3 linked regions of the Callithrix jacchus genome follow. The protein of the gene in region 3 purifies or fractionates together with the protein of the main gene of each other region. This does not show direct contact. Links are inferred from orthologs where the notes say so. Each region holds a gene or a part of one and is shown on either strand. Other genes may lie near its edges.

The links.
Region 1: the proteins of RELB (region 3) and NFKBIA purify together in Homo sapiens (affinity purification with mass spectrometry; 4 studies listed by BioGRID and IntAct, counting the BioPlex papers as one, with this or other methods). This does not show direct contact. The link is inferred for Callithrix jacchus from reciprocal best matches to the Homo sapiens genes RELB and NFKBIA.
Region 2: the proteins of RELB (region 3) and NFKBIE purify together in Homo sapiens (affinity purification with mass spectrometry; 3 studies listed by BioGRID and IntAct, counting the BioPlex papers as one, with this or other methods). This does not show direct contact. The link is inferred for Callithrix jacchus from reciprocal best matches to the Homo sapiens genes RELB and NFKBIE.

Annotation. Positions count from the first base shown.
Region 1 is NC_133509.1:69,916,734-69,920,478, forward strand, and holds the start of NFKBIA (NF-kappa-B inhibitor alpha), read right to left. Parts: upstream 2,435-3,745; 5' UTR 2,326-2,434; coding exon 2,111-2,325; intron 1,503-2,110; coding exon 1,394-1,502; intron 1,064-1,393; coding exon 853-1,063; intron 556-852; coding exon 467-555; intron 360-466; coding exon 99-359; intron 1-98. UniProt on the Homo sapiens protein: Inhibits the activity of dimeric NF-kappa-B/REL complexes by trapping REL (RELA/p65 and NFKB1/p50) dimers in the cytoplasm by masking their nuclear localization signals.
Region 2 is NC_133505.1:52,728,566-52,732,310, forward strand, and holds the start of NFKBIE (NF-kappa-B inhibitor epsilon), read right to left. Parts: upstream 2,541-3,745; 5' UTR 2,299-2,540; coding exon 1,934-2,298; intron 1-1,933. UniProt on the Homo sapiens protein: Sequesters NF-kappa-B transcription factor complexes in the cytoplasm, thereby inhibiting their activity. Sequestered complexes include NFKB1-RELA (p50-p65) and NFKB1-REL (p50-c-Rel) complexes.
Region 3 is NC_133523.1:39,212,823-39,216,467, reverse strand, and holds part of RELB (transcription factor RelB), read right to left. Parts: intron 1,788-3,645; coding exon 1,450-1,787; intron 1-1,449.

The sequences.
Region 1 (3,745 bases), on a different chromosome or scaffold from region 3:
CATTCCTCTAATGAAGAGCAGCTCTAGGGGACTGGGAGGGTGAAGGGAAAGCCCCCCCGCCATTAATTTCACAGAATACTGAAGCAGTTCAGACTCACCTCATCCTCCGTGAATTCTGACTCTGTGTCATAGCTCTCCTCATCCTCACTCTCTGGCAGCATCTGAAGGTTTTCTAGTGTCAGCTGGCCCAGCTGCTGCTGTATCCGGGTGCTTGGGCGACCCCAGGTAAGCTGGTAAGGGGAGTAGCCCTGGTAGGTAACTCTGTTGACATCAGCCCCACACTTCAGCAGGAGCGACACCAAGTCAGGATTCTGCAGGTCCACTGCGAGGTGAAGGGCAGTCCGGCCATTACAGGGCTCCTGAAACCAAAAGGAATTTGAGATGCCTATGGCTGCGTTTGGAATTTCTGCTTGCAACACAAGCACGAGGAGCTTGACTCAGAACATGGGAGGCAGGAAGCACTCACCTGAGCATTGACATCAGCACCCAAGGATACCAAAAGCTCCACGATGCCCAGGTAGCCATGGATAGAAGCTAAGTGCAGACACGTGTGGCCTGGAAGAACAAAAGGAAAAAAGCATAACCATTTGTTTCAACCCTCCTAAAGCAGCACCTTTCACCTATTCTTTTATGGGACAAACAGTCATGTCTTCTGAATTTTAAGAACCCCAGTCTGGGTTCTGAAGGGACTTTTAAAATGTATCCAATAGGCATATTGCACACATCTTTTCTCGATCTTTCACAGGTTGGGAGTTTAAGCTCTTTCCTGGACTCCCTAAGTTGGCCCACGTGCCCTTTCTGCATGTCACCTGCCCTCTGAGGGGGTGGGGCAGGGCAGGAAGGCAGACATACCATTGTAGTTGGTAGCTTTCAGGATGGAGTGGAGGTGTGGGGTGGTGCAGGCCTGAGTCAGGACTCCCACGCTGGCCAGGCAGCCCTGCTCACAGGCAAGGTGTAGGGGGGTATTTCCTCGAAAGTCTCGGAGCTCAGGATCACAGCCAGCTCCCAGAAGTGCCTCAGCAATTTCTGGCTGGTTGGTGATCACAGCCAAGTGTAGTGGAGTCTACCAGTGCAAGAGAAACCAGAGAGAGTAAGCCATGAATCAAACCCACACCCCGAGTTCCCCGGATCCCCAATGTCTCCTGGTTGGGTGCTGCTCCTCCCAGGTGGGAGGGTGGGGAGGGCTGGCAAATAGCAGAGGCTCCAGGTGGGTCATAAAGACCTCACCAAATCCATAGAATTTCCTTCCCTCTCTAGGATGGGGGCTGATGCGAAGTAAACGGCAGGGGTGAATAATGCCCAGTGGCCCTTAATTCAGAAAGGATCTGGGGTGACTCTGCTACATCAGCTCTGTCCCAGGGTCAAAGAAAGCCCGGGCCAGGCACGTGCGCACCTGCTGCAGGTTGTTCTGGAAGTTGAGGAAGGCCACGTCTCCCTTCACCTGGCGGATTACTTCCATGGTAAGTGCCTTTTCTTCATGGATGATGGCCAAGTGCAGGAACCTGTGGGGAAGAGGGAAAAACCCCCAGGGGTGGTGAGTGCACCGCGTGGGGCCCAGGGAGGCGCGGGCTGCGGGGGATTGCGCAAGGCCGGGGTTTCTGGAGGCCGAGGCCGCGGTGTTTTCCGCGAGGTTATTATGAGCTGAGTGTTCCTGGCAGGCGCCCAGGGACTTTCCGCCCCCCTCCTTCAGGCCTCGGCGGGCGCCGGCCAGACCGCCCCGCCCTCCCGCCGGCTCGGAACGCCCTGTACTTCCCCTCCCGGCTGCAAGGCGCCCGCCAGCGGCCAGAAACTCCCGCCCCGCCTTATGCAACCGGGGACTTCGCGTCCCCACCGCCGCCCCGCCCCCGGCCTAGAGGACGGATGGGGGGGAGGGGGCGTGTGGCGACGCTGCGGTCCACCAGAGCCGAGCCTCTGCCCCTCCTAGTCCAGCCGGAGTCCCGCGCGGCCCTGCGGCCCTGCAGCGTTCGGCGCCGTGCAGGAGCCCCGGGGCGCCGCGGTGCTGGCCCGGCTGCAGCGCTGGTCCCCGGGCTCGGGCTGCAGGCCCAGCACCCCCCAAGCCCCGCCTGCGCGCGTCCGGTCCTCCCAACGACCCCTGGCCCGCGCCACTTACGAGTCCCCGTCCTCGGTGAGCTGCTGCTTCCAGGGCTCGGCGCCGTGCTGCGCCTCCTGCGGCTCTAGGCGGATCTCCCGCAGCTCCTTGACCATCTGCTCGTACTCCTCGTCCTTCATAGAGTCCAGGCCGCTGTCGTGGCGGTCGTCCAGCAGCCGCTCCTTCTTCAGCCCATCGCGGAGGCCCTCCATGGCCCACTCGGCTGCCTGGAACATTGCTCGGGCGAGCTGTGGGTGCTGCTGCGGGTGCGCTGGGCCGCGGGCTGCGCGCTGCTTCCTCGCTGGAGCGCTGGCGAACGGTACGGCGGCGCGGGCTGCTGTGGGCTCTGCAGCGCCGCCCCAACGCCCTTATAAACGCTGGCTGGGGATTTCTCTGGGGCGGGGTCAGGCGCGGGGAATTTCCAAGCCAGTCAGACCAGAAAAGAGAACTGGCTTCGTCCTCTGCTAGGGGGAAAAAGAAGCCTAAACCCTGAGCTGGGGTTCATCGGAGAAACTCCCTGCGATGAGGCACTGGGGTCACGGACAGGGAACTTTTTGATGAGCGCCGAGTGGCTGGAAAGTCCTTCCTACCAGGCCCCCTGCCCCCGGTACTTCCCTGCAGCCTGCACCCTGTAATCCTGTCCCTCTGCAAGTTAACCATTTTTCCCTGGGGTTTCCCACGATCGCTTTGAATTGGGGTCGTCGGCTGCTGAGATCCCAAGGACGCCGACCTGATGGGCAGTCCTTCTTTGGGGTTTGCCAACCTGCCGGTCTTTTCCGTTTTTTGATCTTTTGAAAACGCAAGAGTGGAAATGATGGCTGGGTGTAGGGATTTGCTTTCCGCAGACTTCTCTCTAAGGGGAAGGACGCACTGTGATTAGAAGGCTGCAGGCCGCCGACGTGTTTCTACCAATACCAGGCTCTTTGCAGCACCGGGACGCTTAGCTTCTCCACCCCCACCCCCACCCCCACCCCCACCCCCACCCCCACCCCCACCCCCACCCCCACCCCCACCCCCGCACACCCCGCCAGATAGAAGTTGTGAAAGCTTTGGAGTGAAAACCTAAATCCTTGGAGAACTCTCAAATAAGTTCCTATGGAAGAAGAGCTCTGTTGACTGGGGGAGGGGTGAACTCTCCCTGTACGGGGGAAACTGCTAAATAGGACCAGGATTTTCTTCCCCCTAAGTAAAGCTAGGTGCTAATCTTTGTAGTAGTGGTTGTGGATACTTTGCAATAACAAAATAACTATTGTGTTCCTAAGTAGCGATTTTGTTCATGCTCTCTGACCTACATTGTGCTGCTGCAGAGAATGGATCCTGAGCCTACTTCTGGGTGCAAACTGAGCAATTCTCCAGGAACACTTGGAGAAGGAGACTGAAGAATGAGTTTAGTTAGTACCTTAAACCGCGCTTGGACCGTAAGGACCACTAAGAAACTAGTTGCCAGGCATCCTGCGGGAGGCTGAAGGCAGTCTGGTCCTGCCCGCCCCTCCTTGCTCCATTGTCCGGGGGGACGGTAGCAGTTGGACTCATTCATGCCACCCAGGTAGAAAGGGGTTTGGGCTCACTGTGCTCTGGTTTTACCTGCAGAAATAGAATTTTTGCTCTCCACCCCATCTCCACCTCCAAGTCTACAAGTCATGGACTGAATTCTAC
Region 2 (3,745 bases), on a different chromosome or scaffold from region 3:
AGAAGGAGGCAGATGCAGGGTCACTCCATACCCCCAAGCAACTCAATGTTAGACATTCCAAGGGAGAGACACAGATATTCTTGGAAGAGGAGCAAGGAGACAGAGCAGCATCCTGTCCTGCTGCCCTTCACAGGGAGTCAAGAGCGCTTCTCAGATAGCACAGACCAGGTCAGGCCTAACAGGGGCCCTCCATTCCTCTGTGCACCTCCAAGAGGAAGTCTTTGCAGTGCAGAAAATGTGTTTGTTGAGGGGACCAAGAACCTTAATCTAGGGGTAATGGGGTCAGTCGGGAGGGGAAGTTCCAGTCTTGGGGTTTCCCCATGTCAGGTGGGGAAAATGAAAGCCAGTGCTGAAGGGTCTAGGTCGGGACAGCTGCCTTGGGGCATTAGTGAGGACGGTAACTTGGCTAAAAGGCCCATCTGGGCTGGGAGGGGGCTGCTTGGGCAGGAGGGCGGCAGGCTTTGGCGGCAGGCAGCAAGAGAGGCCCAGGAGAGTGACGGAGGGGAGGGAGGAACCGCTCTGGAAATCCCCTCGGTCAGGGCCTGCTCTCTGGGTCACATTCTTGCAGCCACCTCCCTCTCTCCCCCAGTATCCCCTCCTCCCACTTCCTCTTCCCACTTCCATACCTTCCACAGCCCAGATACCTCCAATGGAGAAAAATGCCCCCTCCTCTCTGCGGACTCGCTGGGGAGCCTGGACCCTTCTCCCCACCACACACACACCCAGTCTGGATACAACACCTGCTTCTAACTAGAGATGGAAAAGGCTGGGGCTGAGAGACTAATTAAAGAGGCAGGGTCAAAAGTCCCCTCTCCTTGGATCAAATGTCATCAGAGGCATCATGCATGCAGCCCCCAAAACCTTGGGGTTCTGGGCCTGAAGGCTGGTGATCCAGGCAGAGTACGAAAAGGACTGGGTCACTCCTCCCCCACCCACTGGGTCCACCAGCTGTCTTTATCAATGGTCACCCAGGATTAGGCTCCTGCACCTCCAAAAAGCAGGTTAGGACAGCCACCTCCTGCCTCTCCTACTCCTATGTACTTGAGCACCCTTGATCAAGAATTCCAGCCCCCGCACCAACTCTATATATCAGCCCCAGATCCCAACCTTCCCCTCCTCTGTCAATGTCTTCTTCTTCCTGGGGGGTGCTAAATCCTCAGCTGGCCAACCCATCCCACACAACTGCCTTTTACATCAACTGTCCTCTGGCCCACTCCCACCAAACTCCACCTGGGTCTGGAGCAGGAAGGGTTAAATGAGGGAGTAAGGCATGACAGTTAGTGGGATTGGGGGGCCCTGGAGGTAGAGGATGTCAGGGATGCTGACTCTAGCCCTCACTTCCCCTTTCTTAGCAGAGGAGGAAGTAAGCTGGGGCAGCCAGCCTCCTGTCTGTCTGCTGGGGCAAGAGTGCCCCAGCCTGGCTCACCCCTCTTCCTGAGGACCAGCCCCAACTCTACACCCTGGTGGCACCCCTCCATGCCTAGCTTCCTGGCCCCCGAATGGCACCCTGTAACTGGCACCTTTTGGTCCTTGAGACAGAGAACTCTGAGCTTAGGAACTGGGAATCCCAGATATTGAGCAAATAAGGATGTCCCCTTCCCCAGCAAGGAGAAACAAAAAAACTGGACTTGGTCAGGGGAATTTTCTCTTCCTAGGAGTGGATTACTGGTAGATTTCCAAGATGCTGGCTGTGGTCCCTGGGTAAGGGTCCTGCCAGCTCTGCCCACCCCAAAATGGGCGGACAGAGATGATGCCAGGTTTTCTGGTCTGGGCCTGCCTGGACCTCAAAAGTGGGCTGAGAGTTATGTCGGAGTTTGGAAGAGCGAATGGGGACTTGAAAGAGCCTAAGCGGGGAGTGGGGGTGCCCGGCCTGTTGCGGCTCTTGGGCAGGCCCAGAGTTAGCATCCCGCATCAGCCTAGCCCCCATACTCACGTGTCTCCGTCCTCGGAGATATAAGTGAGTGCTTCCAGCTGCTGAGGGCTCAGCGCCCCCGCGTGGGGGAGTGGCGAGCGTGGGGCCGGGTCCTCAGCCTCGGGGCCCCCCAGCAAGGACAAGGTCTCGGTGAGCGAAGAGGAGCCATAGGTGGAGTCAGCCCGCTCCCCATCCGCATCTTCCTTCTCCTGTGGTTCCTTGGCGGGCCCCGGAGGATGGGTGCAGGGCTGAGGGCCGCCGTCCGAGGGCCCGGAGGCTGGAGCCGAGGTGGGTTCGGGTAGGGAGCGCAGAGAGCGCAGAGACTCAATGCCAGAGTCGTACTGGCCCTCGTCCGCCTCGTCCGGTCCCTTCCGAGCCTCGGACATGCCCGCGGCGCCGGCCCGCGGGGGTCCAGTCCGAGCAGGATCCAGCTCCGAGCTCCGCCGCGCCGCCTTTCCGGGTTGCGGGTCCACTTAGCAGAGCGGGCGCCCGGCCCGCGGCGGCCTCCTTCCCGGGCTGTGGGGCTCCGAGGGGCCAGCGCGCAGCGAGGACAGGGTTCGGAGCGCTGGCCGGGTCCACCCAACGGTTACTCCGGGTAGCCGGGCCGCCCAAGCAGGTTCTCCTCCTCGCCCCGCCCCCCCGGACCAAAGAGGTTTCACTGCTCCAGATGGCCCCGCCCCGCCCCGCCCCCAGCTGGAGCTTCCGGAAAGAGACCCCGCCCCTCCGGAATCCCCCTTCCCGGCCTCTACGTAGGCTTGGAGTCTGTGGTTCCCGGGCCCTGACTCACTCCTTCGTTGATTCATTCACTCATTCATTCATTCACTCTTTCCCCCTTCCTCTTACACTCCATTCATTAGTTCCACGCATTTACTCTTTCCGTCTTTCACTTCTATTTCTTCATTCGCTTTATTTTGATTTTTTTGAGACAAAGTCTCGCTCTGTTGCCCAGGCTGGAGTGCAGTGGTGCGATCTCGGCTTACTGCAACCTCCGCCTCCCAGGTTCAAGCGATTCTCCTGCCTCAGCCTCCTAGTAGCTGGGACTACAAGAAAAGATGAGAGGTCTCACCATGTTGCCCAGGCTGGTCTCGAACTCCTGGGTTCAAGCGAGCTGCCTGCCTCGGCCTCCTAAAGTGCTGGGATTACAGGCTGTGAGCCACCAGGCCCAGACCATTAATTTGTTTTAAAGAAATATCTATTAATTGTCTCTATAAGCTGGCGTCTTTGAGGGTGGGCATGTGCGTGGTGGGATGGGGAAGCACTGCTTCCTATCCCCTGCCCATTTATCTCAATTTCTCTGGCTTTCTCATCTTTCCCTATCAGTGCCCAGGAGTATCGGTAGGGAAAGGGGACTCCCATCATCTTTAAAGGACTTGTTCTCCTGGGTCCTGGAAGACAGTCTCCTGTGTCAACTTCCCACATCACATGGAATTGGGCATGAAAATGTTTTTTTGGAAAGAGCATCTTCTCAAGCAGACTGTTGTCTAAAAAGCAAAGTGGTTATGGGGTTTCTTCTTCCTTAAAGAGTGAAGCCCTGGTCTTGGGCAGTTACAGTTTCTGGTCACCCCCAGCAGTCAAAAAAGTGGGGCCATGTTGGGGAGGCCCTGACATGCTGGGTTGCACTCTGCTCAGGTCCCCACCACTGCCTCAGTCTTAGTCCCAGAACATCTTTCCTCTTTCCCTGTCCCTGGGCCTAGGGAGGCCATAGGAGAACCCCACCACAAGTTAGCCCTAAACCAGTGCCCCATGATTTATTCCCTCGTTCCTCCCCACTACTCCAAGTGCTACCAGCCTAGTGCCAGCAATGTTCTTAGAGGGTTATCTCCAAGGGAACAG
Region 3 (3,645 bases):
ATAACAGTGAAACTCTGTCTAAAAAAAAAATTGTACCTGTACCTTATTAATACATTAATACCCTGACAAAAGTCACCTTTGCTTTTCCTTGTTTTTTTTATTTCTGGTGAAATATATATATATATATATTTTTTTTTCTTTTAAATTGAGGCAGGGTCTTGCTTTGTTGCCCAGGCTGGAGTGCAGTGGTGCAACCTTGGCTCACTGCAGCCTTGACCTCCTAGGCTCAAGTGATCCTCCCACCTCAGCCCTACCATGTAGCTAGGACTACAGGCATGTGCCACCACATCCAGCTAATTTTTGTATTTTTTTGTAGAGACAGAGTTTTGCTATCTTGCCCAGGCTTGTCTAGAACCTGAGCTCAAGTAATCCGCTTGCCTCAACCTCCCAAAGTGCTGGAATTACAAGCCTGAACCATAGCGCCACACTCCACCTTCATTTTATTTTTGGGACAAGGTCTCAATCTGTCAGACTGCAGTGATCTTCCCACCTCGGCCTCCCAAGTAGCTGGGATTGTTAGAGATGTGTGCCACCATGCCTGGCACCATGTTGGCCAGGCTGACCTCAAGGGATACACCTGCCTCAGCCTCCCAAAGAACTGGGATTACAGGCATTAGTCACTGTGCCCAGCCAAATGCCAACCCCCCTCCCCAGCTTTTTGAACCATTTGGATTCCAGCCCAGGTGATAGTATAATTACTATCTTTTTTTTTTTTTTTGAGACCAAGTTTCATTCTTGTCCCACAGGGTGAGGTGCAATGGCTCGATCTCGGCTTACTGCAACCTCCACCTCCCAGGGTCAAGCAATTCTCCTGCTCAGCCTCCTGAGTATCTGGGATTACAGGCACATGCCACCATGCCCGACTATTTTGAATTTTTTTTTTTTTTTTTTGAGACGGAGTTTCGCTCTTGTTTACCCAGGCTGGAGTGCAATGGCGCAATCTCGGCTCACCGCAACCTCCGCTCCCTGGGTTCAGGCAATTCTCCTGCCTCAGCCTCCTGAGTAGCTGGGATTACAGGCACGCGCCACCATGCCCAGCTAATTTTTTGTAATTTTTAGTAGAGACGGGGTTTCACCATGTTGACCAGGATGGTCTCGATCTGTTGACCTTGTGATCCACCCGCCTCGGCCTCCCAAAGTGCTGGGATTACAGGCTTGAGCCACCGCGCCCGGCCTTATTTTGAATTTTTAGTAGAGTTGGAGTTTCACCATGTTGGTCAGGCTGGTCTCCAACTCCTGACCTCAAGTGATACACCCGCCTCGGCCTCCCAAAGTGCTGGGATTACAGGCGTGAGCCACCGCATCAAGCCCAGTAGTATAATTATTAATATCTGGTCCAACAACAGTAACAATAGCAACCATCAAATAAACGTATAGATGCATGCTGATGGCTTCCGGGTACAGGTGAAGCCCCAACCCCTCCCGCCCGGGTCCGCGCGCCGGGCCCACCTCGATGGCAGGCAGCGTCTTGCTGGCCTCGGTGCTGCTCTCCCCGAGGATGCTGCCGGCCGAGCGGCCCTCGCACTCGTAGCGGAAGCGCATGCCACGCTGCTTGGGCTGCTCGGTGATGACCAGGTGCGGCTGTGGGCCGCCCGGCGCAGGGGGCACCAGCCGGCCCAGGGGGCAGCCCCAGGGCGGTGGCGTGGCTGGGGGCGCCACAGGCCCCAGGGTGACCGTGCTCAGCGAGGCCGCCCCGCGAGACACCAAGCGCGGCAGTCCCTCGCCCGGGCCGGACTGTGCCCGGTCCAGGCCAAAGCCGTTCTCCTTGATGTACTCATCGATGATCTCTGCGGGAGAAGAAAAAACACGTGGTGACGCTGATTCTTTAAAATAAATAAATAAATAAGGCTTGATTACCCCTAAGACATTTTCCATCCCATTCATCTCTCACACACACACACACACACACACACACGTCAGGGAGGCCAGGTGCAGTGGCTCACGCTTGTAATCCCAGCACTTTGGGAGGCCAAGGTGGGTGAATCACTTGAGGTCAGGAGTTTAAGACCACCCTGGCCAACACAATGAAACCCAGTCTCTACAAAAATTAGCCTGCATGGTCCCACATGCCTGTAGTCCCAGCTACTCGGGAGGCTGAGGCAGGAAAATCGCTTGAATCTGGGAGGTGGACGTGGCAGTGCCAAGACTGCACCACTGCACTCCAGCCTAGATGACAGAGCAAGACTCCATTTAAAATAATAGGGAGGCCGAGGCGGGTGGATCACGAGGTCAAGAGATCGAGGCCATCCTGGTCAGCATGGTGAAACCCCGTCTCTACTAAAAATACAAAAAATTAGCTGGGTATGGTGGTGCGTGCCTGTAATCCCAGCTACTCAGGAGGCTGAGGCAGGAGAATTGCCTGAACCCAAGAAGGGGAGGTTGCAGTGAGCCGAGATCGCGCCACTGCACTCCAGCCTGGGTAACAAGAGCGAAACTCCATCTCAAAAAATAATAATATTATTTTGTTTTACTTTATTTTTATTTCAAATATAAAATAAAACAAGTTGCCAGGCTGGAGTGCAGTGGCGCAATCTCAGCTCACTACAACCTCCAATTCCCTGGTTCAAGTGATTCTCCTGTCCCAGCCTCCCAAGTAGCTGGGATCACAGGCACACACCACCACACAGCTAATTTGTGTACTTTTAGTAGAGATGGGGTTTCACTATGTTGGTCAGGATGGTCTTGATCTCCTGACCTCGTGATCCACCTGCCTTGGCCAATATTATTATTATTGAGATGGGATCTTGCTCCATCTCCCAGGCTTGAGTGCAGTGGTTTAATCATGGCTCACAGCCCGGACCTGTCTAGGCTCAGGGGATTCTCCCACCTCAATCTCTCGAGTAGCTGGGAGGCTACTTTGCCTGGCCTCTTTTCTGTTTCTGGCTCCTACCACATCTGGCCCTCTTCAGGGTCTTGAACTTGCTGCAGGCTGGGCAGTGTGGCTCATGTCTGTAGTCTCAGCACTTTGGGAGGCCAAGGCAGGAGGATCACTTGAGCCCAAGAGTTCGAGATCAGCCTGGGCAACATGGTGAGATGCCATCTCTACAAAATATTGAAAAAAAAATTAGGCATTGTAGTGCCTATAGTTCCAACTACTAGAAAAGCTGATGCAGGAGGATTGCTTGAGCCCAGGAGTTCAAGGCTGCAGTGAGCCGTGATCACACCACTGCACTCCAGCCTGGGCAAGAAAGCACGATCCTATGTTAAAAAATAGGCGGGGTGTGGTGGCTCACGCCTGTAATCCCAGAACTCTGGGAGGCTGAGGCAGGCAGATCACCTGAGGTCAGGAGTTCGAGACCTGCCTGGCCAACATGGTGAAACGCCTTCTCTACTAAAATATAGCCGGGAGAGGGGGCACACACCTGTAATCCCAGCTACTAGGGAGGCTGAGGCAGGAGAATCTCTTGAACCCGGGAGGTAGAGGTTGCAGTGAGCCAAGATTGTGCTATTACACTCCAGCCTGGGCAACAAGAGCAAAACTCCATCTCAAAATAAATAAATAAATACAAATAATACAAAAATTAGCCGGGCTTGGTGGCACACACCTGTAGTCCCAGCTACTTGGGAGGCTGAGGCAGGAGAATCACTTGAACCTGGGAGGTGGAGGTTGCAGTGAGCTGAGATAGCACCACTGCACTCCAGCCT